Mus musculus: one gene and its partners. Each later gene encodes a partner of the first gene's protein in a complex. Links are inferred from orthologs where the notes say so. Each region holds a gene or a part of one and is shown in the gene's direction. Other genes may lie near its edges.

What was found.
Region 2: the proteins of Tgfb1 (region 1) and Lrrc32 are in contact, whole or in part, in a cryo-EM structure (PDB 8VSC), measured with the Homo sapiens proteins. The link is inferred for Mus musculus from reciprocal best matches to the Homo sapiens genes TGFB1 and LRRC32. Residues at the interface, in NP_000651.3 of Homo sapiens: Leu30, Ser31, Thr32, Cys33, Lys34, Pro325, Pro327, Tyr328, Ile329, Trp330, Ser331, Leu332, Thr334, Gln335, Tyr336, Val339, Leu342, His346, Ala353, Pro354; in NP_001122394.1 of Homo sapiens: Ser135, Tyr137, Glu158, Ser160, Thr162, Val184, Met186, Asp187, Ile188, Glu189, Asp190, Phe193, Leu202, Leu204, Arg206, Asn207, Ser208, Leu209, Thr210, Cys211, Ile212, Ser213, Asp214, Phe215, Ser216, Leu217, Leu223, Leu225, Cys227, Ser229.
Region 3: the proteins of Tgfb1 (region 1) and Itgb8 are in contact, whole or in part, in a cryo-EM structure (PDB 7Y1T), measured with the Homo sapiens proteins. The link is inferred for Mus musculus from reciprocal best matches to the Homo sapiens genes TGFB1 and ITGB8. Residues at the interface, in NP_000651.3 of Homo sapiens: His117, Thr241, Arg243, Arg244, Gly245, Asp246, Leu247, Thr249, Ile250, His251, Gly252, Met253; in NP_002205.1 of Homo sapiens: Ser156, Ala157, Ser158, His160, Asn161, Asp213, Tyr214, Asn215, Leu216, Gly248, Asn249, Ile250, Asp251, Thr252, Glu254, Gln286.
Region 4: the proteins of Tgfb1 (region 1) and Nrros are in contact, whole or in part, in a cryo-EM structure (PDB 7Y1R), measured with the Homo sapiens proteins. The link is inferred for Mus musculus from reciprocal best matches to the Homo sapiens genes TGFB1 and NRROS. Residues at the interface, in NP_000651.3 of Homo sapiens: Leu30, Ser31, Thr32, Cys33, Thr35; in NP_940967.1 of Homo sapiens: Phe194, Glu195, Ile196, Glu197, Gly198, Gly199, Phe201, Leu210, Leu212, Pro218, Cys219, Ile220, Val221, Asp222, Phe223, Gly224, Leu225.
Region 5: the proteins of Tgfb1 (region 1) and Tgfbr2 are in contact, whole or in part, in a cryo-EM structure (PDB 9FKP), measured with the Homo sapiens proteins. The link is inferred for Mus musculus from reciprocal best matches to the Homo sapiens genes TGFB1 and TGFBR2. Residues at the interface, in NP_000651.3 of Homo sapiens: Arg303, Lys309, Trp310, His312, Tyr368, Tyr369, Val370, Gly371, Arg372, Lys373; in NP_003233.4 of Homo sapiens: Phe47, Leu50, Phe53, Asp55, Ser72, Ile73, Thr74, Ser75, Ile76, Cys77, Glu78, Val100, Asp141, Glu142.
Region 6: the proteins of Tgfb1 (region 1) and Itgav are in contact, whole or in part, in a crystal structure (PDB 5FFO), measured with the Homo sapiens proteins. The link is inferred for Mus musculus from reciprocal best matches to the Homo sapiens genes TGFB1 and ITGAV. Residues at the interface, in NP_000651.3 of Homo sapiens: Gly242, Arg243, Arg244, Gly245; in NP_002201.2 of Homo sapiens: Asp178, Asp180, Phe207, Tyr208, Gln210, Ala245, Asp248.
Region 7: the proteins of Tgfb1 (region 1) and Itgb6 are in contact, whole or in part, in a crystal structure (PDB 5FFO), measured with the Homo sapiens proteins. The link is inferred for Mus musculus from reciprocal best matches to the Homo sapiens genes TGFB1 and ITGB6. Residues at the interface, in NP_000651.3 of Homo sapiens: Pro70, Gly71, Pro72, Glu75, Leu158, Asn237, Gly245, Asp246, Leu247, Thr249, Ile250, His251, Met253, Asn254; in NP_000879.2 of Homo sapiens: Ser142, Ala143, Ser144, Asp146, Asp147, Pro196, Cys197, Ser199, Ile200, Pro201, Tyr202, Lys228, Lys231, Ile232, Ser233, Ala234, Asn235, Ile236, Asp237, Thr238, Glu240.

Annotation. Positions count from the first base shown.
Region 1 is NC_000073.6:25,696,923-25,700,912, forward strand, and holds part of Tgfb1 (transforming growth factor beta-1 proprotein preproprotein), read left to right. Parts: coding exon 1-73; intron 74-202; coding exon 203-350; intron 351-3,990. UniProt on the Homo sapiens protein: Transforming growth factor beta-1 proprotein: Precursor of the Latency-associated peptide (LAP) and Transforming growth factor beta-1 (TGF-beta-1) chains, which constitute the regulatory and active subunit of TGF-beta-1, respectively.
Region 2 is NC_000073.6:98,488,644-98,493,079, forward strand, and holds the start of Lrrc32 (transforming growth factor beta activator LRRC32 precursor), read left to right. Parts: upstream 1-1,347; 5' UTR 1,348-1,454; intron 1,455-3,396; exon of another isoform or gene 3,397-3,494; intron 3,495-4,436.
Region 3 is NC_000078.6:119,161,917-119,165,380, reverse strand, and holds the end of Itgb8 (integrin beta-8 precursor), read left to right. Parts: intron 1-1,880; coding exon 1,881-2,044; intron 2,045-2,141; coding exon 2,142-2,264; 3' UTR 2,265-2,578; downstream 2,579-3,464. UniProt on the Homo sapiens protein: Integrin alpha-V:beta-8 (ITGAV:ITGB8) is a receptor for fibronectin. It recognizes the sequence R-G-D in its ligands.
Region 4 is NC_000082.6:32,142,024-32,145,668, reverse strand, and holds the end of Nrros (transforming growth factor beta activator LRRC33 isoform 2 precursor), read left to right. Parts: intron 1-663; coding exon 664-2,637; 3' UTR 2,638-2,884; downstream 2,885-3,645. UniProt on the Homo sapiens protein: Key regulator of transforming growth factor beta-1 (TGFB1) specifically required for microglia function in the nervous system.
Region 5 is NC_000075.6:116,108,944-116,112,933, reverse strand, and holds part of Tgfbr2 (TGF-beta receptor type-2 isoform 1 precursor), read left to right. Parts: intron 1-2,630; coding exon 2,631-3,430; intron 3,431-3,990. UniProt on the Homo sapiens protein: Transmembrane serine/threonine kinase forming with the TGF-beta type I serine/threonine kinase receptor, TGFBR1, the non-promiscuous receptor for the TGF-beta cytokines TGFB1, TGFB2 and TGFB3.
Region 6 is NC_000068.7:83,722,751-83,727,540, forward strand, and holds the start of Itgav (integrin alpha-V precursor), read left to right. Parts: upstream 1-1,646; 5' UTR 1,647-1,984; coding exon 1,985-2,169; intron 2,170-4,790.
Region 7 is NC_000068.7:60,670,837-60,675,435, reverse strand, and holds the start of Itgb6 (integrin beta-6 precursor), read left to right. Parts: upstream 1-1,742; 5' UTR 1,743-1,973; coding exon 1,974-2,034; intron 2,035-2,724; coding exon 2,725-2,804; intron 2,805-4,599. UniProt on the Homo sapiens protein: Integrin alpha-V:beta-6 (ITGAV:ITGB6) is a receptor for fibronectin and cytotactin. It recognizes the sequence R-G-D in its ligands. Internalization of integrin alpha-V/beta-6 via clathrin-mediated endocytosis promotes carcinoma cell invasion.

The DNA of each region.
Region 1 (3,990 bases):
ATACAGGGCTTTCGATTCAGCGCTCACTGCTCTTGTGACAGCAAAGATAACAAACTCCACGTGGAAATCAACGGTGAGCTAACTTCCCGGGTCCATCCTGACACAGGCCCCTCATGGTCTGTGTGCACGTGCATGTGTGTGAAATCTCACCCATCCCTCTAAGTGTGTGTATGTCCTTCACCACAACATCCAAACCCAACAGGGATCAGCCCCAAACGTCGGGGCGACCTGGGCACCATCCATGACATGAACCGGCCCTTCCTGCTCCTCATGGCCACCCCCCTGGAAAGGGCCCAGCACCTGCACAGCTCACGGCACCGGAGAGCCCTGGATACCAACTATTGCTTCAGGTAAACACTGTCTCTCTCCGAGGCTGTGCAGGCTGCGGGCTGACTGCAGCCTGTGGACTGGTGTGCCACCATGTATGCCTGCAGGGCTTGGGGACAAGTTCCTGGTTCTGTGGGCAGCTGAGAGTCCTAGAATGAGGGGTGTTTTCTTCCTGGAGTGCTGGGATCAGGGAATTCAACAAGAGTTGGAAGTCTGTTGGAAGGTTGTCTGGTTGGGTTTTAAAATTCTTGCCAGGCTTCTGCCACTTTGGGATGCTAATGAAAGAATTTACTGTGAGCCATGGAGCGTGTTGACCCCAGGAAAGCTGGAGTGCTGGGATCCAAACATTTGGGTTCCGAATCAGAAGGTGGTCTGCACTGGGTTCCCACACTCTTGGCAGATGGTGGTCTCCAGTGCTGGTGGATGAGAGCGGCAAATCCTGGGTCTCAGAATGGCAGGGCTGGCAGGGAGATGTTAGCATCTAGAGTGGAGGTGGAGAAAGCCAGAAAGTGAGTTTCCTGAGGGCCAGCGCTTTATCTGGCAGTGGTGCACCCTGAGGAGGTGAGAAGATAGAACTTCTGAGATGTATGTAGGCTTGGAAGTGTGAAGTGTTGGAATATAGTACTGAGATAGGGAACTCTGAGGAGACAAGATCTCTCAGAGTCAGAGAGTGGGCGTCCTAGTGTATCCAGAATGCCCGTACCAAGGGCCAAAGCTTTTTGGTCATTGTTTTTAAGTTATATCTCTGTGTGTGTGTAGGGCCATTGTGTGTGTGTGTCTGTGTGTATGTAGGGGCATCCATGCCACAAAACTGTGTGACGGTCAGAGGACAACTGTTGGGAGTCCGTTCTCCTTCCACCATGTGAGTCCCAGATATAAGACTCAGGTCATTGGGCCTGGCTGCGAGCACCTTTGCCTGCTGAGCCATCTTGTTAGTTCTCCTTTGTTTGGTTTTGTTCGAGACAGGGCTTTGCTGTGTAATCCAGGCTGGCCTCAGATTCACTCCTTTAGCCCAGACTGTCTTGAATTCTCTGTCCTGGGATTACAGATGTCACACAACCACCCAGTTCCAGAATGGTAGACTCATATTAAGCCTCGGTACTGTGGATGAGAGAAAGAAATTGGAACGTTAGATCCTAGAAGGCATGAAATTCAGGGGTGTTGAGAGATGAGAGCAGTGAGCTGACCTATCCCTTACCTGCTTCAGACTTTATAGAGTTCTGTGTTACATATCGGTCCTTGGCTGGCCGGCCTCCTCCTCCTCCTCCTCCTCCTCCTCCTCCTCCTTCTCCTCCTCCTCCTTGTCTTCACCTTTGGTTGTCAGCCTTCACATAGGATCAGATGTCCGGTCTTCATACTGCAGGTTACTAAGAGATGCAGGAAGCTATGTAAACTCTGTTCCTCACATACTGGGAAACAAACTCAGGGAATCATGAAAATCTCTTTGTCTGTCTGTCTGACTGACTGACTGTGTCTGTCTGCCTGTCTCTCTCTTATATTTGTTTTGCCTATGCCTGATGTATATGTGGGCTCTGGGAATCCGAAACCAGGTCTTCATGCTTGCACAGCGAGCACTTAATTCCCTGAGCCAAGTCCCCGGCTGTGACAAGCAAAATTTTGCATGGAAGAACACCATGCCATCGAGCAAGGCCTATCAGACACATCAACCATGATCTGATGGGAACTGTAGCTCCAACTCCCATGTTGCAGGGAACTGCAACAGAGGGACAGACTAACAACATTAGCCAGCACCACAGGGACGCACCCAGCAAAGTGCAGATGGTGGGAAACCTAGTCATTTCTTCAACAGATACAGTGCAAAGAAGGGAGGGGAGGATATATAGTCCACACTACTAGAAGAGAGAGGAAGAGAGGGCTGAGAGGTTGGAGGAGGAGGAAAGAAAAGGAAAGGGAAAAAGATGTTTATGGGACACAGTGGGAAACATGAACCTTGAGTAGTATTTGATTTTAGTGATTTAATGTTAAATTTTTGCCTGGGGAAGGGGGCTGGAGAGATGGCTCAGTGGTTAAAAGCACTGGCTGCTTTTCCAGAGGACTTGCGTTCAGTTCCCACCACCCATAATAAGGATCACACCTGTCTATAATTCTAGCTCTAGAGGATTTGATGCCCTCACACATGCATAAGTGCAGGTAAAACACCAATATACATTAAAAAAAAAAACAAAACAAAACAAAACAAAAAAACCAACCCTCCCTAGGATTTTGTTGTTGCTGCTGCTGCATTTGTGATACTGAGAAAACCCAGTACCTTGTACATAGTAAAGAAGCACTCTACCACTGAGCCACGCCCCCAGCCCCTCACTGGGGGATTCTAGGCAGGGGCTCTACCACCAAGCCACGCCCCCAGCCCCTCACTGGGGGATTCTAGGCAGGGGCTCTACCACCAAGCCACGCCCCCAGCCCCTCACTGGGGGATTCTAGGCAGGGGCTCTACCACTGATTTATATTTTATATTGATTTATACTTTTGATTCATGTTTAAATTGTAAAATATTCCTCACTTTCTAAGAGAAAGTGAACTTTTCTACAAAAGTTCATTAAACAAATGAAAAAACTACAGTGGCGGAAAGAAAGTAGGTGGAATGAAATTGGCCACGAGTCAGCAACTGTTGTCATTTACAGTTGTGGAGATGCGAATTAGTTAAGAATCCATAATTCAGAAGTCCAAAATCTCGCTGGCCATGGTGAGCAAGGCTGTAATCCTAGCGCTGGAGTAGGAACGGGAACCGCAGGAGGTCAAAGTCATTGATAGGTACGTCGTGTGTTTGTGGCAACCAATCAGACCCTGCCTCGAGAAAGGGGGTGGGGCATCTGGAAGGATGAGGAGCACAGCTGCTCTTTCAGAGCACGCAGATTCATTTCCCAGCAACCTACATGGCTGCTCCCAGCAATCCATAGTCCCGTTCCAGGGAATCTAACGCCTCCTCCTGGCCCCCATGGGCTCTGCACGTATGTGGTGTGTGTACACACATGTTCAGAGAAATACTCCTACACATAAAACTTTTTTTTTTTTTTTTTCCGAGACAGGGTTTCTTTGTATAGCCCTGGCTGTCCTGGAACTCACTCTGTAGACCAGGCTGGCCTCGAACTCAGAAATTCACCTGCCTCTGCCGACCGAGTGCTGGGATTAAAGGCGTGTGCCACCACGCCCGGCTCGCTCTCTCTCTCTCTCTCTCTCTCTCTCCCTTTCTTTCTTTCTTTCTTTCTTTCTTTCTTTCTCTCTTTCTTTCTTTCTTTCAAGTTGACAGGTGTGGTGCATGTCTCTGATCCCAGCATTCAGGAAGCAGAGGCAGGCAGATCTCTGAGTTTGAGGCCAGTGACAAACAAATTTCAGGCAAATACATAGATCCTGTCTCAAGAAATATGAATAGTAATAAAAATAAAATAAATATGTAAAGTCTATGTAAATATCCCCTTACCCCAAAAAGCTATACAGTCTAGAATGTTTCTGGTCCCTAACGTTTCTGAAAAGGGGTATTCCGTTTATATTGTAACGCACTGCTTCTGTGTCTCTTCACAATTTTCCATGGCAAAGCTGTTTTTATGCCATCTTAAAAACCACCTCCCCCGGGGTCCTCAGGGCTCCTCACAGATTAGGCCCTGCTGGGTCTCAGACTGGCAAGGGAGGCTTGAAAAAGCAGTG
Region 2 (4,436 bases), about 73 Mb from region 1:
CATCATGGGGAAGCAGGTAGGGAGAGCCCCAGCCTACCTGAGTCTTTGTTCATGCTCTGCCCTCGCTACAGAGTAGTCACAAAGCCCCTTCCTCGATTGATACATGACCCCATGGACTCCAACCTGGAAAAGGTGTCCTCCTAAAGCAGCAGATGAGGAACGGTCTCTAACACCCATCGGGTGCAGGCCCAGGCCTACATCGACTTCATCCAAAAGAGCGGCTCTTGCCATTCTACACTTGGCAGAGAGGGGAACTGAAGTTCAGTCTGACTAGATAGTACACACAAGGGCTGAGGTGGGAGAGCCACAACCCTGAGAGCTCCCGAGGGTGGGTGGGGGCAGGAAGCTGGGCTACTCTGCTGCTCTGACTCCTTATAGCATCAGAGGATGCCTCCTTGGTGAACCTTTCCCTGACCTTAGGTTAGGTCAGGGCTCTAGACTGGAGTTGTCAGGGACTGTCCTCTCTGGGTTGTTCGCACCGCATGGGTCCATCCAACCACTGTGGACTAGATGGGAGGAAAGGCCCAGCTCAGAGCCCAGCCCTACTCTGGCTCACCCCGCTTGGTGCTGTTAAGATAGGGTGGATGGCCCTCCTCTAGGCGCTGTGACCACCAGGGAGAACATTATGAATACAGAACTAGAGACTGGAGGACGGCAGCAACACTCTTCACCCATCTTTCAGTCTAGACCCAGCAGGGCACGGTGCCAGTGTCTGAGGAGGCTAAGTACCTTGTAAAGGCAGCGGCTTTGGGTAAGTTATGAGACTGTCATTATGCAGTTTAACCTATCAGAGCCTCAGGTCCCCCAAATGTCCGTGGGGACCTGACAAGTCTCAACCAGCTGGCTTTTCCCTCATCCCACTCCTAGCCTCAGCTTCTCTATCAGTAAGCAGGGGACACTGACAGGCTTGGAGATGACTTAAAGGCAGGATAGCTGGGGGGGGGGGGGGGTGGATGGGACCCCCTCAGGGCCATCCCAGGGCCAAAGAAGGGTCACTTCCTTCCGTGCCGGTGGTTGCCAGTCACCTCTGGGTGGCCCCCTGCCTTGGTGCGGTGGCGCCAGGATTTCCTCCGCGGACCTGCGGCTCCCTGCACCCAAGACCTCGCGGGCCCACGGCTGCACGTGCGGCTGCCTCGGCCTAGCTTCTTTTGTGATCCTTCTCCCTCCAGTCGTTTTTCGGTTTCAAGCGCCGCCCTAGCTGGGTCCGGGCGATTCCAGAGCAGAGGCGATGCTCGGTTCCTAGGTCCGCACGGCTGGCAGGGCGGTGTTAGGACCCCGCGGCTCAGAGTCCCAGGGGGCGTGGCCGGGCGGCCGGTGCTATTTAAAAGGCGGGCGCCGCCCCCTCCCGGCCGGCTGGAGCGGCGCTGCAGCGGTCCGGCCTCGGCGGGCCAGACCCCCGGGGTTGCGCGAACGATGCGCGGAGGAGTCAGGCGGCGGCGGCGGCGCTGAGCCAGGTAGGGGCGGCGGTCGGCGGCGGTGCCTAGAGAGCTAGGGCCGGACCCTCCCTCGGCACCCGGGTGTTAGCAGATCTACCTAAGGAAGGGCTCAGATAGGCGTTCCCATTTGACAGCTGGGAAAATCGAGGCAGGAAGCTCTGGGTGTGCCTAGGAGCACACAGCCAAGCAAGCAGATTAGGATTTGAATTCAGGTCTGCCCCAGGCAGACATGGGCTTTCCACACTACCACTATTATCTGGAGGGGATACCCAGAACTCTTTGGGGAGACTTCTTTATGTGTGATAGATAGGAGGGACCCCCCTACCCCACCTCCACCCTGACATTTCACATCACAAGCACATTCCTTTGGGTTAAGGTCTGATTCCCCTGAGATGTAGGATGTCTCTAGAACGGGCTGCCCCTAGTGAGTGATTCACTGCACTGTGAGCCTTGAAGCTGCTCTCCCAGGCCCCCTTTGACAGTAGTCATAACAGACTGAGAGCCCTACCGCTCAGTATACTCCTGGGCCTGGGGCTGTAGGCTCCTGAGTAACTTAGGAAGGAAGTCTTGGCAGTTGCTTTGGAGGCACAGGGGCTGGATTCTGATACCGACTCTTCGATTTACTGTACAAGTGCCTTAGGGTAAGTCATTTCTCTGAATCTCGTGGTCTGGGAGAGAGATCCACAGGGTGCCCGTGGGGTCTGCACTAGTGGAGACCACCCAGCACTAAGGGACTATAGATCTGGCTGAGTCCCAGTTGCAGCACACCTAGGGGCTAAGGATCAGGCACTTTGCCTTCCCAAGCCTCGGTCCTCCAGTCTGTAAATGGGAATTATAGTAATCACCTCACTTGGTGGTTGTGAGAGTTAAAAGACCTGCAGTCAACCTAGGGCTTAGAAAAATTGTAACCTCCTTGCATAGTAGGGGCAGTCTTATTTTTATTATAGGTTTGACTCCACTATCTGTCTGTCCCCCTCTGTCATGCACGCGCGAGCACGCGTGCATGTGCACACACACATACAAGCACATACAGAGATATTCTTTGACACCTCTCCAATCAGAATCCAGCTACCTGCCTGCAGAGCCAGGACCTCTATCCTCAGCATCGTTGGTATCTGAACCATCAGGGAAGGACATGGAAGGGTCCCAGTACTTTCCTGGTCATGCTCCACCTGATCCATGCTAAGCAAGGATAGCCAGTGTTGGAATGGGAACTGGTGTGTCCTGCAGATGAATCACCTAGGCAAGGAGAGATAAAGAATTTGCCCTGAGGACCACACTAGCCAGTGGTGGGGCTTGACAGTGAGCCCTGGGTTTGAATGCCTCTGGTTGTCCCTGGGGGGCTGAGTTCTCACTGCTGCAGATGGGGCACAGCAGGGTGCTTCTTTCCACCATAATTCTGTGGGGACTGTCTCTTCTGGATGTGCAGAGGAAGGAGAGACAGGGTCCCTTTGGGCATCCCTACCTTAACCCCAGGTCCTAACTTGTCCTTATTGCAGCTGAATTTGTGACATCATTCAGCCACTTGTTCCCTGGGAGAAATTTAGTGAGCATATACTTAAGGAATGAAGCAAATGAGAAATGAGAGCGGGAGGGGGGATAGAACACCCAGGAGCCTGAGCAGGAACATTCTGGACCAGGAGGGAGCAGCCAAGCAGAGTCCTTCCCCATCCCCCATCCCCCTCCCCCCCACACACACCCACCACCAGGCAGCAGGGAAGGTACTGAGGTGACTGAGGAGTTTGCTGAGGGGAAGAAGGTGGTAGGTGGAGCTGATGGGAGAGAGGGTGACGTCTGAACGCTACTGGAGATTTCAAAGTGATTTGTAAGATCTGGCATGTGATTTTGAAACGTCACTGGGTGCCATGTATGGGGCAGATTGTCCCGTCCTAGAGGGAAGCAAGAAGGCAAACAGTGGAGTTGGCTGTTGCAGTGAAGGTGGGCGGCTTTGAACCTGCTGGACTAGGGCGGGGAGGGGCCAGGGGGACCTCTCCTCACCTGTATCCCATAGTGGAGACTTGCCTGCTGCTGCGCCATCTGACTTCCCTGTGTCATAAGGTGGGTCCCCACGGGTACTTCCTTTTCAAGAGGTAGGGAATCACAGTGGGGTGTGCTGTGTGCCCCACACTGAGCTGTCCGATGCTCAGCAACTGTGAGAGCCCTGAGAACACAGGGTAACCGTGAGAACCAGAGGAAGCTTCCTAGAGGACAGGGCATCTAAGCTCCACGGGTGAAGAGACATTGAGCTGCAGGGGAGGCAGAGGAAGCCAGGGGTCCAGAGGTCCAAAGGAAGCACAGGTCCGTACATGTGCTCAGGGCTCAGAGACAGAGCGAGGACAATGACAAGTCAGGTGGGAGACAAGAGCTGGCCGAGGGAGGGATGGTTGCCCAGGGCCTGGACATGAAGGCTGGCCCAGGAAGGGATAGCTGCTCAGAGCCTGGAGATGAAGGCCAGGGGCTTTCATTTAGCTCTGAGGATGCTGATGTTAAGCAGGTAGGGACTGCATTTGAACCAAAAGAACAAAATTTCCTGTGAATTCATAGCCTGCAGTGAAAGCGGAGCACTGTGGGGCAGGGCTGGGCTCTGGGGGAGCCAGGAAGGAGAGTTGAAAGGGCCACACTAGCCCCTGCGTGTTTCAGCAAGATAAGCAGCCACGGCATTGAGAGTCATCCCCAGTGGGTTCTGACAGTCAAAAGAGCCGGCACAGGCCTGCAGAGCTCTCCCAAGGCCATCTTTAGAGTGGCAACTCTCATTCCCTTACCCACTGTTGGAGACCTTCAAGTGCAGAGGCGAAGGGCACAGAGTCTACCATGTAGCTGTGTTGTCTTAGCTGTATTTTATAACCTCTCTGAGCCTCGGTGTTGTTTTGGTTTGGCTGTTTGTCTTTTCCCTTCTATAAACTAAGATGTGTAAGGAAACAGAGCTGAGTCCTTGAGCGTCAGGTTTGATGGTGAGGTATGATATGCTGTAACACCTTCATAGAATGTCTGTTGTCCTCA
Region 3 (3,464 bases), on another chromosome or scaffold:
CATTCCCTTAGCCCACAGTGAATTTGGCTCAGAAAAGAGTCCCATGTGCTGCCAGCTCAGGCTGCAGCAATCTCTCCAGAAAGCCAAGTGCCTTTCTAATAAAGAGGGCCCCTACATATCATTAATTAAGTTAAGTAAACACTACTCTGACTTAAGTGTTGTTGCAAACAGTGTTCCCTTAAAACTCCTTAGAAAAAGACCTAGCCTGACCTCAGCTAAGAAAAGCATGACCAGAGGCAAATGTTGGATCATCATAACAACATTGGGGAAAAATGAATACAGACTTGAACCCTCAACGGGTCCTCTGGCTAACACATTCATAATATTTCTGAAATGTATCAAACTACAAGACTTCCCTCCCCTTAACAACTATTATGCAAGGAAAGGAAAAGAGCATTTGTTAGGCACCTTAATTATTTGTCCACTCAACCACTCTTACAGGGTCTTCTTTCAGTCTCTCTGGCTAAGCTCCCATCAGGCAAAAAGCCAGGATAGGGATCAAGCCACGTGCCCCTCTAAGGATTGGCTTAGCTGATGGAGTAGACTAAGTCAGCCAAGGGATATCACAATCTGTCAGGACATAAGCTATGAGGGTCACTAACCTGAAGGAAAGAAGCTGTAAAAGATCAAATAGCACCACCTTTGGACACACACTTTGTATTCTGTACTCATAATATCTTTAACAAGGAAGCATTGTACCATACTGGCATCTGATGTTCCCATTTCAATGAATAGGAATGGGCGTGTTTTTTAACTCCACAAAGTCTTTTGTCACCAATCACAAACAATGGTCTCTATTAAGTCCACCTAGTTGTAGAAGATCTCTTGCCCCCATTATTGAAACCTTGCCTCATTTAAGAGGCATGCTGGGTTAGCATTGAGCTTTGGAGCCAGAATCAGCTATGACTGGATGCTACTATGCTCATGGCCTTGGCACATCCTCTCTCTAGATGCTCTTTCCTAGGCAACTGCAGCATTCAGACCAGGTCCCTGAAGCGTGCAAAATGGGTGGAGAAACACATGCTTCAGTCCAGGAAGTGTTTTATGAATCTGGGGCAGCTTGTGAGCTCTGTGGAATACCCACTATTGTGCAACCATATTCCTCAGAGACTAGAGTAGACCTCAGGCAAGCACAGAGCTTATACAAATTTTTCCAGTGAGAGTTTGCCAGAGATCTGGTTCTAAAACAAAGGTCTAGCATTTTCCCTCTCCTAACATGGCTTTTCTTTCTTCAGCAAGTGATTATTGTTCGAGGAAGAACACATAATGAATTTGTGGAGGCAAACAGACTAGATTAGTGAAGTTAATTAGTAAAAAGTGAGACGAGAGATTTGGGTATTGTCCAAGATGCAACACTCCTACTTCTCAGAGTCATGATGTCTAATAATAATGAAATCTTACACCAGGGTTTAGAGAAAATATTTATTTCCCTATTAGAGTAGTACTGAGTTTGCTTCTGCAGATGTTTACTTTATTTTCCATTACTGCTGAGCAATAAAGGAGGAGAAAGCATAAAAGGAAAAACACATGCTGAATGCTTGGGGCTGCTCAATATCCTTTTTAAATCATGTTTTCCACATAGTACTGAACTGTACACACCACTATAGCTCTCTCAGTCACTGTTCTAAACAAACTTACATATGGGTAAGAAATTTTGACATAGCAAGCTACAAAAAAATGAAATATTTTAATTGTGAATATTCTCCAAAGAAGGGTTCACTGTTTTGAGTAATCAGTAATGTCAACCTCCTATTGTGAAAATAGAGACTTGTAAAGAAACCTGCTTTTATTATAAGAATGTAAACTATATTTATTTGACAGAAAACTTTGGTTTACTTTAAAAAAAATTTTAACCCATTAACTTGTCTCCTTTCTTGCAGAATGTTTATCTGGCCCAAGCTATCTGCGAATATTTTTCATCATATTCATAGTCACATTCTTGATCGGGTTGCTTAAAGTTCTTATCATTAGACAAGTGATACTACAATGGAATAATAATAAAATAAAGTCCTCATCAGATTATAGAATGTCTGCTTCTAAAAAGGTTGGTGAACTCGGAGGACAATTATATTAATTATATGTGACTGTGCACTTCTAACACTCAGCTCTGTTACTAATCCTAATATTTCTTCTCCATCAAGGATAAACTGATTCTGCAAAGTGTTTGCACGAGAGCTGTAACCTACCGACGAGAAAAGCCTGAGGAAATAAAAATGGATATCAGCAAACTAAATGCTCAGGAGGCCTTCAGGTGCAACTTCTAAATAAGATTAACAAACAAACAAAAACTGTTGGAAGCTGGATGGTTTTACAATTTATTCTAGCAAGTATAATATAAAGTCACAGGAGAAGACAAATTATATTGAAGAGTGTGCCATGAAGACTGGCAAGTGTCTTCACAACCATATGACTCACTCAGCTGCTGAAGTTTTCAGTGAACTATGTGTCTTACTACTGTTGGAGACTAGTGTTGTAGCACTTTATTGTAATATATAACTTATTTAGATCAGCGTAGAATGTAGATCATCTGGGAAAGCACTGATTACACTTTACAGGTACCTGTCAGCCCTGAGCTTCACAGACAAACACGAGGCTATGGAGCAGGTTGCAGGGTGTCACCACCACAGACTGGTGATCCTTCTGTACAACCTGCTGATGAAAAGCATCCAGGAGTAGTTGAAAGCAGTCAACCACACCCGGCAATTGGCATTGTCGAGCTGTGTACAACCAGCTGAGTAAGGGTTAGGCTTTCATTTCAGTTTGGGTGAACAGATGAACTTTAATCTAAGCGGTGTTGCTTTTGAAGCTGTGCAGTTTTGTGCATGCACGGGTCTGTTTTCTTCTCCTTTGAAGCTGCGTGGCTTTGTGCATGTACAAATCTGCTTTCTTCTCTTTTCCAAAATGGATTTTGACTCCAACATCTTCTCCTTTTTGCATTTAAATTCTGTTTTTCTTCCTTTGGAATAAGTTTATAATGTCACAAATGACTGGATTAAATAAGTGCTAAGTTACTACTGCCATAGAACCTATATGACAATGTCACTTTACTAGAATACTGGTTTTAAAGCTGAATGTTAATAAGGGTCACTGTAAGGTGTCTAAGGTCATCTAAGTCCATAGCTTCTTTGTCTGAAGATAGTTTATATATTCTTACCTGTCAAACTGGATGGATTGTTTCACTCTGTCATTGATCTGACCTGTAGCCCGAAATCCAAAAGGTGTCTACAAAACTGCTTCGAGCAGAGTACCCTCTTTTCTGAGTGTGTTCTCTTGATTTTTACTCCAAGATGATGTCAACAGTTTTCAAATGGAAAGCTATATTATTCTTGCCCTCCTGTGTTCCCTAAGGGCATTCCTTGAATCCCAACCCTACTCATAAGAATTCACAAAGGTATAAAATTGGACACATGAGGGTAATATCCTGGAAACAAGCTAATCTCCCCTTTTTGTTAGCCAGGAAATGG
Region 4 (3,645 bases), on another chromosome or scaffold:
GTCCTGACTGGTCCCTAACTCTTTAAGTAGTCCAGATTGCCTCAAACTCTCAGAGATCCTCTTGCCTCTATCTCCATGGGTCCAGGGATTAAAGGCTTGTGCTACCATGCCCAGTTTCTTTCTGTTGTTGTTGTTGTTGTTTTAAAGGTGTATTTTATGTATATGAGTACACTGTAGCTGTTTTCAGACACACCAGAAGAGGGCATCAGATCCCATCACAGATGGTTGTGAGCCACCACCTGGTTGCTGGGAATTGAACTCAGAACCTCTGGAAGAGCAGTCAGTGCCCTTAACCTCTGAGCCATCTCTCCAGCCCCTAAGTTTTATTTTAATAACCCAGTAAAGAATTTGAAGCTGCAAGAGGTTAGTTAGTTCCTTGCTCAGGGTCAAATTAACAAACTATAGAACCCAAACCTGGGCATCTTCGTATTAGCCACTGCGCCTTCCAAGAGCGAGGCCTCTTACACAACTTCATTGCACTTTGCCTTGGAGGTTGGCTGTTTGGTACTCACTGGCCTTGCCCTCCTGACCAACCTGTAGAAAGCAATAGTATTGCTTTTCTTACCGTTCTTCTCTGGACACCTAACCCAACACCTTCTGGCTAGCTGTTTGCTTTTGCAAACTACATTTCTGTGAATTAACCTCATGTGTTTGTGGACCTAGGTCGACGGAGTCGCTGACTGCCGGGGTCTGAACCTTGCTTCGGTACCCAGCAGCCTCCCACCCCATTCCCGGATGCTCATTCTGGATGCTAACCCTCTCAAGGACCTGTGGAACCATTCCCTCCAGGCCTACCCACGCCTGGAGAACCTCAGCCTGCATAGCTGTCACCTGGACCGTATCAGCCACTACGCCTTCCGAGAGCAAGGCCACTTACGCAACCTGGTTCTGGCAGACAACCGCCTCTCGGAGAACTACAAGGAGTCAGCCGCAGCACTCCACACCCTGCTGGGACTTCGGAGACTGGACTTGTCTGGAAACTCCCTGACCGAAGACATGGCGGCTCTCATGCTTCAGAACCTCTCCTCGTTGGAGGTTGTGTCCTTGGCAAGGAATACCCTCATGAGGCTCGACGACTCTATCTTTGAGGGCCTGGAACACCTTGTAGAGCTAGATTTGCAGAGAAACTACATCTTTGAGATCGAGGGCGGGGCGTTTGACGGCTTGACTGAGCTGAGGCGTCTCAACCTTGCCTATAACAACCTCCCCTGCATTGTGGACTTCAGCCTCACCCAGTTACGGTTCCTCAACGTCAGTTATAACATCCTAGAGTGGTTCCTGGCAGCCAGGGAGGAGGTGGCCTTCGAATTGGAGATACTGGACCTGTCTCACAACCAGCTGCTCTTCTTCCCACTCTTGCCTCAGTGCGGCAAGCTGCACACCCTCCTGCTCCAGGACAACAACATGGGCTTCTACAGGGAGCTTTACAACACCTCCTCCCCGCAGGAGATGGTGGCCCAGTTCCTTCTTGTGGACGGCAATGTGACTAACATCACAACTGTCAACCTCTGGGAGGAGTTTTCCTCCAGCGACCTGTCAGCTCTTCGCTTCCTGGACATGAGCCAAAACCAGTTCCGGCACTTGCCGGATGGTTTCCTGAAGAAGACACCTTCCCTTTCCCACCTGAACCTCAACCAGAACTGCCTGAAGATGCTCCACATCCGGGAGCACGAGCCGCCGGGAGCACTCACCGAGCTGGATCTGAGCCACAACCAGTTGGCAGAGCTGCACCTGGCTCCGGGGCTCACGGGCTCCCTCAGGAACCTCCGGGTGTTCAACCTGAGTTCCAACCAGCTCCTGGGGGTCCCCACTGGCCTTTTCGACAATGCCAGCAGCATCACTACAATCGACATGAGTCACAATCAGATCTCACTTTGTCCTCAGATGGTGCCCGTAGACTGGGAGGGGCCTCCCAGTTGTGTGGATTTCAGAAACATGGGCTCTTTGAGGAGCCTTTCTCTGGACGGCTGTGGGCTGAAGGCATTACAAGACTGCCCGTTCCAGGGGACCTCCCTCACTCATTTAGACCTGTCTAGCAACTGGGGGGTTCTGAATGGGAGCATCAGCCCTCTCTGGGCTGTTGCCCCGACATTACAGGTCCTGTCTCTCAGGGACGTGGGCCTTGGTTCTGGCGCTGCAGAGATGGACTTCTCTGCGTTTGGGAATCTGCGGGCGTTGGATCTGTCGGGAAACTCCCTGACCAGCTTCCCAAAGTTCAAGGGCAGTTTGGCCCTTCGGACTCTCGACCTCCGCAGAAACTCTCTCACGGCCCTCCCTCAGAGGGTTGTGTCCGAGCAGCCTCTGAGGGGTCTGCAGACCATCTACCTCAGCCAGAACCCTTATGACTGCTGTGGGGTGGAAGGATGGGGGGCCCTGCAGCAGCACTTCAAGACTGTTGCGGACTTGTCCATGGTCACTTGCAACCTCTCTTCCAAGATCGTCCGTGTGGTGGAGCTGCCCGAAGGCCTGCCTCAGGGCTGTAAGTGGGAACAGGTGGACACTGGTCTCTTCTACCTCGTGCTCATCCTGCCCAGCTGCCTCACCCTGCTGGTGGCCTGTACTGTCGTCTTCCTCACTTTTAAGAAGCCTTTGCTTCAGGTCATCAAGAGCCGCTGCCACTGGTCCTCCATATACTGACCCGTGTGCCAAGGCTAGAGACTTGGTTTTTCCTCGAGGATGCGTCTCTCCGCTGGATCTTTACTTTTGCAGGGGTCGAGTGTGATGCATTGAAGGTTAAAACTGAAATTTGAAAGAGTTCCATCCTCAGTCCCATTAACTTCTCCTCCCATCCGTGTGATTTATCCTCATTGTCCTGGTGAAATATTTATTAAACGACATTCTGTGAGAATAAAGGGTGTGCCTCATAAATATTTTAAAAATCAAATGCATCTTGTGTAATGTCCTTCAATGGTTTCTCTTGGGTTATTTTTCAATGATCTTTCTTTGGGGGACATCCATGCAGGCTAAGGGTGACAGTCTGATGCCACCTGACAACAAATATATCTCCTACTGTATGTCTGGGGAGGGTGAGTGACAGCATCCTGGAGATTTACCCAGGACAAGAATCTGAAGGTACTGCTGAAGGGTCTGGCACCAGATGTGAACTCCCCACTGTGGTATTGGCCGATTGCCACAGCAGCGAGAAAGAAGTTGTGGTAGGACCCTTTCCAGATGTCCTGGGTTCACATCTGGAGTCTCTAACAGACAGACATAATGCTTCCATGGACAAGCTAAGAGAAGAGTAACTCAGCCTGAGTTTGTACTGTCTGTGACCTACGGGCTGTGCTTGCTCTGAGGGAAAACAGGAATATTCAGGAAGGAAGGCAACCCAAGCCTCCTCCCTGTTGAACCCGCCCCACCCCCATCACCCCCATCACTTTGAAAGCAAAGTTCAGCCTCTGCTCACCAGGTTCATGAAGACCTCTCATTCTTCCAAGAAAAGCAGAACCTTCATGTGCTCCTCTCTGGGGGAAAATATAAAGACGCAGTGGCGACCCTTTTGGTAATTACACGTTTACACAGCCGCTGCTTCTCATCTCCACTCTCCATGTCACAAGAGAATTATACGAAATGAAGAGAGGACACCTGAGAGGACTGGAACCCTGCAGACTGATTTCTACCACTGTGTAATTTCAACAGTGGAGT
Region 5 (3,990 bases), on another chromosome or scaffold:
GCAAGAACAGCAAATGCTCTTAATCACCAGCCCTCTTTTTCCTGTTTTTAAAGTGTGTTCATGTATCTTTTCAGAAGACTCTGCGTTCCCCATGTGGTTCCTGAAATTCTGAGGTTCAGATTCCTTTAGTTTTAAGTGGCATCAGACAGAACTCCTGCCTTGGAGTTTGGTCAGTGGGTTCAACAAACATTTTGCCCAAAAGACAGTGAGTCAGAACACCCCATGTCTGTGTGCCCCCCTTCCCTTCATTTCATACAGTGTCACTTTAAGTGGCTGGATCAAATGCCAGTTAGGATCACATTCCCTCTAAGGCTCCTCAGCCATCTTCCCAGCTGACTGGCTTGAATTCTCATCACTCACTCCTGACCCAGGAACTGAAGTGGCTGAGTATTGTCTCAGCTCCTGTACCCTCCACGTTTCTATAAGCATCCTCACTCATACATTGTAGCATACACCTGACTCCCTTCTGGAATGACACATCGCTCAGCATTTATGGGCATGCCCCAACTGCCCTACTCGGTAGCTTAAAGACAGCACAGTACAGCAGCATGCCTAATGCCTAGAGCAGACAATCAGGAATGCCACAAATAGAGTGTCAGAGACTCAGGCATGCTCTCTAATGAGTACCTCATGGGCAGATGAACAACACACAACTAGAGTTCTGGCATTCGCGTGGATGTCGTCAATGACCCCTCTGCACATTATAGACTAAGAACCATGTCCTTTTCTCCAAGAGAACTAGAAACAAATGATCAAGGCTCTGATAGGTGAACCAAAGCTGTGCATAAGACATTAGGTCCCTGTGTGTTGTGTCCATTGTCGGCAACCATAGGCGATGCAAAGAGAGGGATGTTGAGTGGACATAAGGTGACTGCTCCCCCTGCTTCTCAGGCCCAGAGCTGGTGTTTCAAGGTAGTCTGTGTGGGAGTCAAAATCAGAGTGAATTGGAAGTTGGGATCAATAGGAACAACAGGATTGTGGCAGTCTCTAGAGCAGTGGCTCTCACCCTTCCTCACGCTGTGACCCTTTAATACAGTTCCCCATGCTGTGGTGACCCCAACCATAACACTATTGTCATTGCTACCTCATGACTGTGTTTTTGCAACTGTTATGAATCATAATGTAAATATCAGTGTTTCCTAATGGTCTTAGGCAAGGAAGCCTTTGACCCTCAAAGTTCATGACCCGCAGGTTGAGAACCAGTGATCTACAGTTTTACCAGGTACTATTATGGACTGGCTGCTTTTGTATTCCTGTGACCAAATGGTTTGCCCAGAATCAGATTAAGGAAGGAAGAGAGTATTCCGGCTTGCAGTGTTTAGAGGCACCATCTGTCACAGTAGTGAAGGCTGGCTGGCACAACCTGATCGTACTGTATCCACAGGAAGTGGGGTGGTCACTGAAAATCAGCTTATATACCTTAAGACCTGCCCTATACGACCCACTGTCTCTAGGGAGTAAGGATCCACTTGGTGAAAGTTTTATAACCTTCCAAAACAAAATCAGCAGCTGGGAGCCAAGTTTTCAAACACATGAGCCTATAGAGATAAGGATGGGGGTGGGGCAGGGAGCATTGAACCATATCTCTATAGAAGCAACCATTCACAAGCAACAGTTACGTATGTCTTTCTACCTCTATCCCCAGTGCCTCACTCAGCCTTAGGCATTGTCTAGTATGTTGTGTCACTCAGCCCTGATTGTACTGACATGCAAACACGGAAAGGCATAGAAGCCGCAAAAGACATCGTACTAAGTTTCCCCAGCTTTTCTTAGAGAGTGGCATTTGAGCTGAAATTTAAAGAATAGGAGGTATTTGAGTGGAATGATCTCAGACAGGGACTGTCTTTGCTCATTCCCATATTCTCACCTGCTCCTGTTCCTGCTCTGTTCCACATCCAGGTCACCCGGAAATAACAGCTCTGTGCCTGGGTGGTATGGAGCGGCATGGAAAAGAAGGTGTCTTGGAAGCCTTGCTTCTTTATGTCAACTGTGTGAGTGTGTGTGTGTGTGTGTGTGTGTGTGTGTGTGTGTACATGTACGCACATATATATATGTGTGTATGTCTGCAGGTACACAAGTGTGCAAGTGTGTGCATGCAGACACTAGTGGGTTTCTTAGGAATGGTATGTACTCTTTCAGGAGCAAGGTCTCTCACTTGACCCGAGACTCACTGATTTAGCTAGACTGACTGACAAGTGAGCCTTAGAAACCTGCCTGCCTCCATTTCTCCCAAGCTGGGATCACAAGTGTGTGCACATTTACATTTGGAGGTTTAGCACGGGTCCACAGAGCAGGTGCTTTACCAGCTGAGCCCTCTACCCATCTCTGTCCTTCCTGTATGTGAATCCTCACGAGGAAGAGATTTGGAGCTAGTATCTAACAATGCCTTATGCATTAGGTTTTGGTTTATATGGTATCCTCGATCATCTCTGACTCAGCTACACACTGGGAGGGGCATGGACAGTGTGGCAGGGTGTAGAATCATCAGCTAGAATCCCTACCTAGTATCCGCGGACCCAGTTTAGATGCTACCGTGCATAAAGAATTGATTATGGACTTGCTTCCCGGTAGGGGTGATGCACACCTCCAGAGCCTAATGCCTTCTCTCCTTTGTCTTCTCTCCACATCAGAATACACCACCAGCAGTCCCGACCTGTTGTTGGTCATTATCCAAGTGACGGGTGTCAGCCTCCTGCCTCCGCTGGGGATTGCCATAGCTGTCATCATCATCTTCTACTGCTACCGTGTCCACCGGCAGCAGAAGCTGAGCCCGTCCTGGGAGAGCAGCAAGCCCCGGAAACTGATGGATTTCAGTGACAATTGTGCCATCATCCTGGAGGACGACCGCTCCGACATCAGCTCCACGTGCGCCAACAACATCAACCACAACACGGAGCTGCTGCCCATCGAGCTGGACACGCTGGTGGGGAAGGGCCGCTTCGCCGAGGTCTACAAGGCCAAGCTGAAGCAGAACACCTCAGAGCAGTTTGAGACCGTGGCTGTCAAGATCTTCCCCTACGAGGAGTACTCCTCGTGGAAAACAGAGAAGGACATCTTCTCCGATATCAACCTGAAGCATGAGAACATCCTGCAGTTCCTGACGGCCGAGGAGCGGAAGACAGAGCTGGGCAAGCAGTACTGGCTGATCACGGCGTTCCACGCGAAGGGCAACCTGCAGGAGTACCTCACGAGGCATGTCATCAGCTGGGAGGACCTGAGGAAGCTGGGCAGCTCCCTGGCCCGGGGCATCGCTCATCTCCACAGTGACCACACTCCTTGTGGGAGGCCCAAGATGCCCATTGTTCACAGGGACCTCAAGAGCTCTAACATCCTAGTGAAGAACGACTTGACCTGTTGCCTGTGTGACTTCGGGCTGTCCTTGCGCCTGGACCCTACTCTGTCTGTGGATGACCTGGCCAACAGCGGGCAGGTAAGTGGAGGCTGGTGCTCTGTCCTCAGACTTCATGCCTGGCTTCATTTCTGCCCCATCTTTTATTTTCTTTTTATAATTTTTCATTTAGAGAGGGGTGTGTGTGTATGTGTGTGTGTGTGTGTGTGTGTGTGTGTTAAAAGTGTGTGTGTGTTAAAAGTGTGTGTGGGTGCACTTTCCCAAGCATGCATGTGTAGAGGCCAGAGGTTAACATCAGCTGTCTTTCTTCATTGTTTTCGACCTTATTTTTCGAGGCAGTCTCTTACTGAACCCAGAACTCACTAATTTGTTAGATTGCTGGGCCAGTCAACTCTAGAGTCCTGGTCCCCCAACCCCACTGCAGCCAGTGTGCCTGGCTTTTACATGGGTTGGGGAGCTCTGAACTCAGGTTCTAAGGCTTCTGCAGCAAGCTGGCTCCCTGCCTGCCCCTCATGTAACATACTCCCTAGTTAGTATACTATATATAAATCACCAAAGCAATGGGTTTCATAATGACATTTCCATCTATGCAGATAAGGAACTTTAAACAATGCCTTGGATAAATATCTTCCTATTATTCC
Region 6 (4,790 bases), on another chromosome or scaffold:
CCATCCAGTAAAAGGCACGATTTCTTTCAAAAATTGTGTGTGATGACCATCTGAATGAGAAACTGAAAATCCCAGACTTGTCTTTAGTCTCTAGACCTGAGGGTACCCGACTGGCCGGCAGCATGGTTTTCAGAAAGAGATGCAGAGAACACAGGGAGTGCACAGAACATTCTTGCTCTCCACGAATCATTGTCTGCCTCTTAAACCCCACATTCTGATCCCAAATGGTGACAAGGAATGAAAGAGCAACCACAGGGTCTTGTGTATAAGTATCCACACAGGATTTCCTGTCTCTGAGGTGGCTTTTACATAGGTATTAGCCTGTGGCTGATAAGATCTCCCAACAGTTTTGCTGCTTATTTTTTACATTTTAAAAATCAACTTGCTTAACCCAACTAAGGCTATCCACACCCCCACACATGATTACTTATGTTATGAGATGAATGCATGCTGACACTGAGGTGTTTTTTCTGCTGTGTGAGACAGGGATCTTCTTATGTTGACTGGGCTCAGGGGGGCCTACTGCCTCTGTGCTTAGTCTGGGACTGATTTTTAATAACTGTTTTGGGAAAATAGTTCAAATTCTCCACTACTTTACTTGGAAGTATGCAAGGCCTAAGCAATGCATTTATATTTAATCATTTTATCCTATTGACCAAATTCTTCATTCCTTCTTCTTTCTTCGTCTCACCCTTCTCCTCTTCCTCCTCTTCCTTCTTATCTTGCTCCTCCTCTTCCTCTTCCTCCTCCCTTCTGAGACAAGGTCTTACCTGTAGGCCTGGCCAGCCTGGAATTTGCTACACAGACCAGATCCTCCTGCTTCTCACTTCATGGTGCTAGGATTAAAAGCATTTGCCACCACATTAAAAGCATGGATCACCACTCCCGGCCCATTCATCAAATTGTTTAGCACTTGATATACATAGAACACAGGAATACTGAGCAAATTTACAAAAACAAACAAAAAAAAACCAAAAAAAACCAAAACAAAACAAAAAAGACTTATTTTGTGTGTATGGGTGTGACCCACGTACATGCCTGATACACACAGAGGCCAGAAGAAGAATTGGAACTGGAAAGCAAGAAACAGAAAAGAAAAAAGGAAAGGAAGTAAAAGAAAGAAAAGAGAAGATCCAAGCACAGGCTTGAAGTCTTCTGGGTGGATTTGAGAGGCTCATCACCTAAACTTTGCCTTGCAACGTTTTTGTCAGCCAGTGAGATCCAGTTCCACACACCGCATCCGGGAGGAGCTGTGCTAGCCCTCTGGGAGTTTATAATTAAGTTCAGTGTGTGGAGGATGGAAGGGGAGGGAAATGGCATATAATTACAGAGTTCTGTTGGTGAGCGCCTGCCGGGCTAAGTGGCAGAAGTAAGAGAAGCGGATAAAGCTTTCCGCATTCTTAAACAAAAGTCCCTCAGAAGTGCCTGGAGGAACCAGGGAACGGGGTGTGCCTGGTTCTTTTTCTTTTGATTGCAGCCAGTCCCCGGCTTGCAGGGCTTCGGCTGGAGGCGCGCTGCCACTGCCCCCCTGGTCCTTTGGATCTGGGCCGCAGTCCCGGGACAGCCTCGGAGGACCGGCCGCCAGCGCGCACGGAAGTGCGCCCGGCCTTCTCCTGTGGGAGGCCACCGTGAGCGCGACTTCCTCTTTCGGCGGGGCGGCCCGGCCTGGCCGGCTCCTCCTCCTCCCCGGCCTCCTCCCCCAGTCCGGGCTGCTCACGGTTCCGAGGTACTGTGCTCGCCCCGCCACTTCTCAGCGCCAGGCACCGCGCGAGCCAGCGACAGAGCCGGAGTCCCGGGTCGGACACCGCTCCTCCTGGGTGCCGCCCGGCTCAGCTTCGCGCCGCCCGGCCGCCCCGCCGCCCTTGACCGCAAGCGCACAGCACAGCTCGGCAGTTCGGGGGCGCGCAGGCGGCGGGCCGCGGCCACCGAGCACCGGGACAGGGACTGAAGTCTTTCGGCTCTGCGCCCCGCGCGCGCCCCGGCGATGGCTGCTCCCGGGCGCCTGCTGCTACGCCCTCGCCCCGGCGGCCTCCTGCTGCTGCTGCCGGGTCTCCTGCTGCCCCTCGCCGACGCCTTCAACCTGGACGTCGAAAGTCCCGCCGAGTATGCGGGTCCCGAGGGAAGTTACTTCGGATTCGCCGTGGACTTCTTCGAGCCCAGCACGTCCTCGTAAGTGGCCGCGCTCGAGTCCCCAGGCGCCCCCTCCCCCACCGCGCACCCTCAGCGGATCCGCACCCAGCCGCTGGCTCCAGGGTCCTCCCGGCCCCAAACCCGCCTACTCTCTCCATGCCGCGGCTGGCCCAGGTCTGGCATGGATGAAACTTTTGTGGGGATGACCTAACCTGACACTCAGCATCCAGTTTCACCGTGTCCCCAACTTCTTCTGATTGGCTGGGGACAGTGCGAGAGAGCTTTGAAGGAGCTCTGTTAAGCATCCAGGAAAAGTGAGACATCTGTACAGGCTTGTCCTGCGAGACTTTTGGCCATCTCTTGTCATTCCGTAACTTGCTTCACTTGGCCCCAGAATTTTTTTCTTCCGTATCAACCAGTTAGCCTCTTCCTAGTGCTTTTTGCTTTCTGAAATTAGCTCTTCCTTCGTCTGATTCTCTCTCTCTCGCTCTCTCTCTCTCTCTCTCTCGGTTTTTTTCCCACTCCTCTTCTAGACACTCCGATGACTAAAGTGACCAAATTGTTGTATTAATTTGTAAAGGACTATGAGACCTTTGCGCGTTTAAGGTCCACCAGATGAATGGAATGCGTCATCTGCTCCTTTCTAGTCCACTATTTAGGTCATTGTTCAGACAGAGCGAGGGTGTTTGCTGAGTTTTCACTCTCTGCAGGTCACTTCAATGCTGAAGAATACAGCAGGTCACGTAGGCTTTCAAATTACTCACGTCCCGTGTTGCAAAGTTCCTGAGGATTTGTGACGGCTAATGTCGTGTTTTTGGATTAAAGTTGTCTTTGACTCAACGCTGGCATCATTCTCATCCCTACTAGTGTAGGAAACCCCGATTAAATTGATGTTTTTCATGTCTATTACATTGTATTTCCAAAGAAACGGTTTCTTTAGTTACTTCTTAGTGTACCCCTTGGGGTAACAACATATTTTTTTTTTACCACAAACCCCCAACTCCCCCCCCAATTTAGTTTTGGGGAGGTGCAAGGCATAATTTTGATGGGTAGGTGATACAAGGTTCATTTGAAGGTGACCTAAGTATTTGTCTGAGGTAGTTGGGGCAGCCTCCAGGGTTTGTCACCGTTTTCCTGAACACTGATGAGTATCATAGGAACCAGTCCTTAAAGCAACCTGTAGCTTGGGTGGGGTTGGCAAAAATCGACATTGTTTATGTAGAGCACGGTTTGATTCACATTGTCAGTGCTTTCTGTTAGACCTGAGCTCACACTCTCCAAAAAAACAAAAACAAAACCAAAAAACCACAGAAGCACCAATTGCAGACATTTAACCACTCCCGCCATGCGAATGATCTCTTTGTATGGATAGAGTAGAGCTTGGGGTTCTACTCAGGGGCCCAGGCTGCTGAGTCTGTAATATACCTCTGAGCTACAGCCACATCCACTCTATCAGACCGCTTTAGTTAGCTCACTGTTTAAAAGTTTCTCCTTTCCATGTATTTTTTGTTTGTTTGTTTGTTTTTGGTTTTTCGAGACAGGGTTTCTCTGTATAGCTCTGGCCATCCTGGAACTCACTTTGTAGACCAGGCTGGCCTCGAACTCAGAAATGCGCCTGCCTCTGCTTCCCGAGTGCTGGGATTAAAGACGTGCACCACCACACCCGGCTCCATGTATTTTTTTAATTGTATGCTTTTTACATCATGGCCACTGCACTTGCCCCCTGGGTGTATCTTTTAGATTAAATTATACAGAAATTTTTCTGACTGAAAATATATTCTCTGCCTTACAGGAATTAGCAGTTAAATACTTCAGAGTTGATGGAGTGTTTTGCAGATGTTATTACTTTTTACTGTTATTAATTTAGTTGGTTTTTGTTTTTGTTTGTTTGTTTGTTTGTTTTTTTGCTTCTGTTTGTCTATGGCAAAGATTTAGTATCCAAGATACATCCAGAAACATGGCAGGCTGGCAAGCTTTTAATTGTCTTTTGCCATGGAAAACAGCAGTTTTGAGCTGTTGGTGGTATTTACTATTGTTGATTGCAAGGAATGTAACTAATCTTTGGAAAACATATGGATATGCAATGAGCTCATACATTTACACAGTCTCATGTTTACAGGAACTTATGCATGAGTTTTAATAGTAAGATATTGTGGAACTTTGGAGATTGCATGTTGTATTTTGAAACAGTCACTATCAACTTTGGTACCAAGAGACCAGCCTAACATAAAAAAGAAAGCAACTTTGAGGGGCCCCCTCCCTCCCAATACACCTAAACAACGGTTTATACTTACTGACTCTTCCAGATTAAATGAAGATTATTACAAAATTATACTTAATCTTAAAATAGAAAAAAACCAAAACCAAACAAAATTTCAGATGGTGGTAGCACATGCTTAAATCCTAGGACTCTGGAAGCAGAGTCAGGCAGATCTCTGAGTTGAAGGCCAGCCTGGTTTACAGAAAGAATTCGGGGATAGCCAGGACTACACAGAGAAAAGCTACCTCATCCCACCTGCCAAAAACCCAACCAAACAAAATTATGCTTAGTATTGGCAAAGGCACCTGTATATTCACTATATATTCAGCAAGCATTAGAATCCACAGTATTGTATGTCATTATCTGTTGCATATATTGATAGTTCCTTTTTTCCTTTCCT
Region 7 (4,599 bases), on another chromosome or scaffold:
CATACACACAGGCACACACACACACACACACACCACAGGTACAGACACACACATACACACTGGTACATATACACAGGCACATGTGCTCGCACACACACACACACACACACACACACTGAATAGTTGAGAACAAAACATACCAAACAAAAGAGTGGAGCCAGAAAAGGATGGGAGGGAGGGATGGAGAGATGATAGTTACTGGGTACCAGTATGCCATTTGAGAAGGAATAGTGTCTAATATTCTAAAACACAGCAGGACAACTTTGGTTGGCAATAATTTATTGAGTATTTAAAAAAAGCTATCACAGAAGATTTCAAACATTCCCCAAGGAAATTACACACACACACACACACACTCTACCCTAAGGGTGCATTCAACTGTTGTGTCAATTAAAAATAAAAGTATATCTTAAAAGGACATATCTGGCACAAATGCTCAGAAAACATTTGTCAATGGGTTTTCAAAATGGCGGCCACATCATAGGCAGAGAGTCATAGTCCCACCATCCTTCAAATGCAGGCACACATTTCACACACTGTTTTTTCTCTCTCAAAGTCTCAGTTTTCAGCTCTCTAATCTGGATTCTTACAGCAGGAGTCTTTCTGTTTTCTTCCTGGGTTTTGTATATGACAGAGTTGAAAACTGAATATAGGCTGCTGGAAAAAAAAATCTAAGTAGTCTATAATTTGTTTTCTTCTCTTTCCAGGTTTCTCACGCTTGCCTGGAAACATACCTTCAAAAGACAGTCTCCCAGGACGTGAGCCCAGACAGAAAGGAGCCTGCCTGAGGTCAGATGGCTTAGCGTGACGGAGCATTTGATTCCTACCTGCTCACAGTTTCTACAAATCCCAAACGGCCCCTGAAGGGAGGGTGGGGGCTAGGGGGCGGGGGATACAAACCTCACAGATTTACCTGTAGAATATACACATTTTGAGCTGTCATCCACATAACAAGTAAATGATTCATATGTGTCAAGCCAGGGGCTGGAAGCCTTTCCTTTCGTTTATATTATTTTAACCTTGTTTATCGTAATGTTTTGTTTGCTTGCGGTCTTGGTGTTTGATGGACCACGGGACCTTCCTTGTGCCACCAAATGCTCTCCTTGGTCACCACCCTGGAAGAATGCTCTCGAGACAGAGATTCAGAGTCGTGACTGCTGTTGTTTCTCTCTCCGGTGTTTCTATTGTGCTGAGGCTTTATTTTGGTCTAGTTGATCTTCATATACAGTGCTTTTAATACGCTTTTAAAATTAAGAACTCTAAAGGTGTGAAAAATAGCTCTTATATAATTTGAAAGATAAGAAAACAGTGTTTTTTGTTCTACTTTGCCTAACTTCTAATTTGACTGTAAAATAATGTTTATATTTTTCAGAGCTCATTTCAATTCTCTGCAGAGGCTCTAACATGAAAACCAAACCTCTCAGGTATTTTAACTTGTTTTTTTTTTTTTTTTCTTAAGCTTCCTTACATTTAAGCTTAACTTCTGTGTTTCATTTCACATCCTTACAGCATTAAATTAAAATTGTTATGAACACCATACATTTAAATCGGTCTTTTGACAGTTCATTGATTAACATTTCACTAAAGAGGCTCATTTGCTCTAGGATACAGTACAGCTAATAGAATTGACACACATGCAAACGTCTCCTGCACTAAGTCTCCCCACCTTCCCGGGCACTGTACACCTGACTTCCTTATAAGGTGAATGAGGAAGTGAACATGTTGAAGTTGCTTTTAAACACAGCTTTTCTGCTTTGCCTGTCCAGGTAGCTTCTGTTTTCATTTTAGTCTTAGTGAAAGGTTTTGAATTTACAGCTCAAGTTACTTTTCAAAGCAGTGTGAGTAGTTTTACTTAAAAAACAAAACAAAACCAAAAACCCCGGCAAGAAAGACTTTCACGGCTTCCAGCTTTGGTCTTGTAACCCTGAAGGTAATTCATTTTTAATCTGTCTGCACAGTGAAAACTGAACCGAATGGGGATTGAGCTGGTCTGCCTGTTTCTGCTACTTCTAGGAAGGAATGATCACGTCCAAGGTAAGCCTGAAGCTCTCTCAGATATCGCTCTCATCGTAAGCTTGACAAACTGTCATTTGCTTCAGAAAACAGACCTGCAGTCATTTTTCATTTGATCTGTCTGATGGCTCTCGTGCCACTGAGACACTTTCACAAACTACAGGCAGACGTAGAGCATTTCCCCCAGTGAATGTTCTAGGTACAAGGTAAATAAACACAAAGGCTTCACGGGAATTTTAATGAGGAGGATTAGACAGAGTTCCTGAACAATGGGACTTGTGAGTGTTGTCCGGATAGCCACTTCAGAAGCTTTTCTGTTTTGTTGCACAACAAGGCCGTCCACCTGGGAGTCACAATCATGAGAGTGGAGGATTCGGCAACAGAAATGCTGAATTTATAAGAGAACCCTTTTTAATGCGTACAGACATGTTTTTGAAATTAAGCGGCAGGTGTTGAACAGGAGGCTAAATGCGATGATTCTGTACTGAGCAGTTAGACACGGTTGCGGTCTGAGACACTGTTTTACATGATGTAGATGTTTCCATTGTGATGGGTCTAAGCTATAAACTTTGATGTGAGTTACTAGCCTTCAGAGGATTACTTTTATAAAGTAAATTTTTAGATAGCTTCGCTCTAGTAAGAGGGGTTAGTCCCCTAAGCTGGATGAAGGAGTGGGCTTTAATCCTTGCCTCTTGCTGGCTTTGCTCTTAGGTGGCTGTGCCTGGGGTGGTGCAGAAAGCTGCTCAGACTGCCTGCTCACAGGACCCCACTGCGCCTGGTGCTCCCAGGAGGTAAATCCCTGGCTCTCACCCTGTTTCTAACACTGTTTCTACATCAGTTAGCATCCTCAGCGAAAGCGCTTCTCTCAGTGCGGTTGAATGAGTAACAAGTTTAAGAAAGGAACATGAGGGTCAGTGGACCAAAGTCGGATTCATCTATACTTTGGAAACAACTTACTGAAGGAACGGATGCCAAATTGTTCTTTAAAACCTGAACATCCTTTACTAAATCTAGACAGTTCTTTTATTTAACTTAATTACTTTATTTATTTATTTATTTTTATTTTTGAGACAAGGTCTCACTACATAGCCCTGGCTGTCCTGGGGCTCACTATGTAGACTAGGCTGCCCTGGAACTCACAGAGAGGTGGCTGCCTCTGCCTGGCCAGTGTTGCCAGCCACCTGGTTACTTCTCTTGCTATAAAGTCTTCCTAGTTGTTTGCTGGTGTAACATTCTGTCTGGATAATTGGTGGCCACAAAGATATTGTCCAAAGTGAAGCAGACATTGAATGTTGATACAATGTAGTTGTGTTCGCATCAGGGACCCGAGATCCGGTGTAAGTCTGTGCTAGGTACTTCGAGAAGGGAAATCTACGATTCAGCCATCAGCCAATTCCTGTACAAAGTCATGAACAGAGTGAGCACAGGAAACTCTCAAGTGGTGGTTCTCAACCTGTGGGTCAGGGTCCCTGTCAGGGTTGGATGACCTTTTCACGGGGGTCGCCTAAGATCATTGGAAAACACATGGATTTACATGACAATTCATAACAGCAGCAAAATTACAGCTGTGCAGTATAAACCAAAATAATTTTATGGGCGGGGCTCATCACAACACACTGTATTAAAGGGTTGTGGCATTAGGAAGGTTAAGAACCACTGCTTTAAAGAAATGGTCCTAGTCTGGTCAGAGTGAAACTTGCGTGAAGAAGTGTGGAGGCCATGAGGGCTAAATAACAAGACAGACCAAGTCCCAGCCTATGTTGTGATGAAGAGAGCAAGGTGTAGTGTAAATGATTCACACTAAGAAAAAGCAGTCTTGGTTTTCTGGATTTTTAAGTCCCATCCATTGGAAAGAATCTAAGTGCCAATCAAGGCTTACAAATGCCAACAGCAAAAGCCAAATAGCATGCAAAGGGAAAGGAATCTAGATGCCTGGATCAGACCTGGGCTGTAACTATTTGCACCCAAAGTCCCCACTTATTACACATCTGTGGAGGGTTGCATCACATGCAGAAGCATAAACCATGCACCCCGCCCCCCAGTGCCCCACACTACCTTAACTGCTTAGGCCACAAATAAAATTCAAGGCAATTATTCTCTTATAAGGTTTAACATGAAATGCAGGGTTGAGAATATTCAACAAGGAACAAGTCCATAGACTCTTTGGACACTGTCTAGAAGATAATATTAGCTTCATGGCAGAGACAAAGAATACTGTGTCAATCTGGAGTTTATGTTTACTTTGTGTGTGTGTGTGTGTGTGTGTGTGTGTGTGTGTGTGTGTGTGTTACCCATGGAGGCCAGAAAACAAAATCAGATCCCCTGGAACTACACTTATAGGTAGTTGTGAGTTCCTTGACATGGTGCTGGGAACTGAACTTGGGTCTTCTAGAAGTATTGTTAGCTGTTGACCTCTCTCTCCAGCACACTAGAATGTATAATTAAATTCATTTTTTAGCATAATCGGGTGTTTCCTAAGGTGTTACTGAGGGTTTTAGTTGTAGCTGGTCAAGTGATCATCAAGTTTTAAGGCCAGATCATTTCAGAGGCCTCTCCAATAATAAAAGCAGTCATGAGTACGTCAGC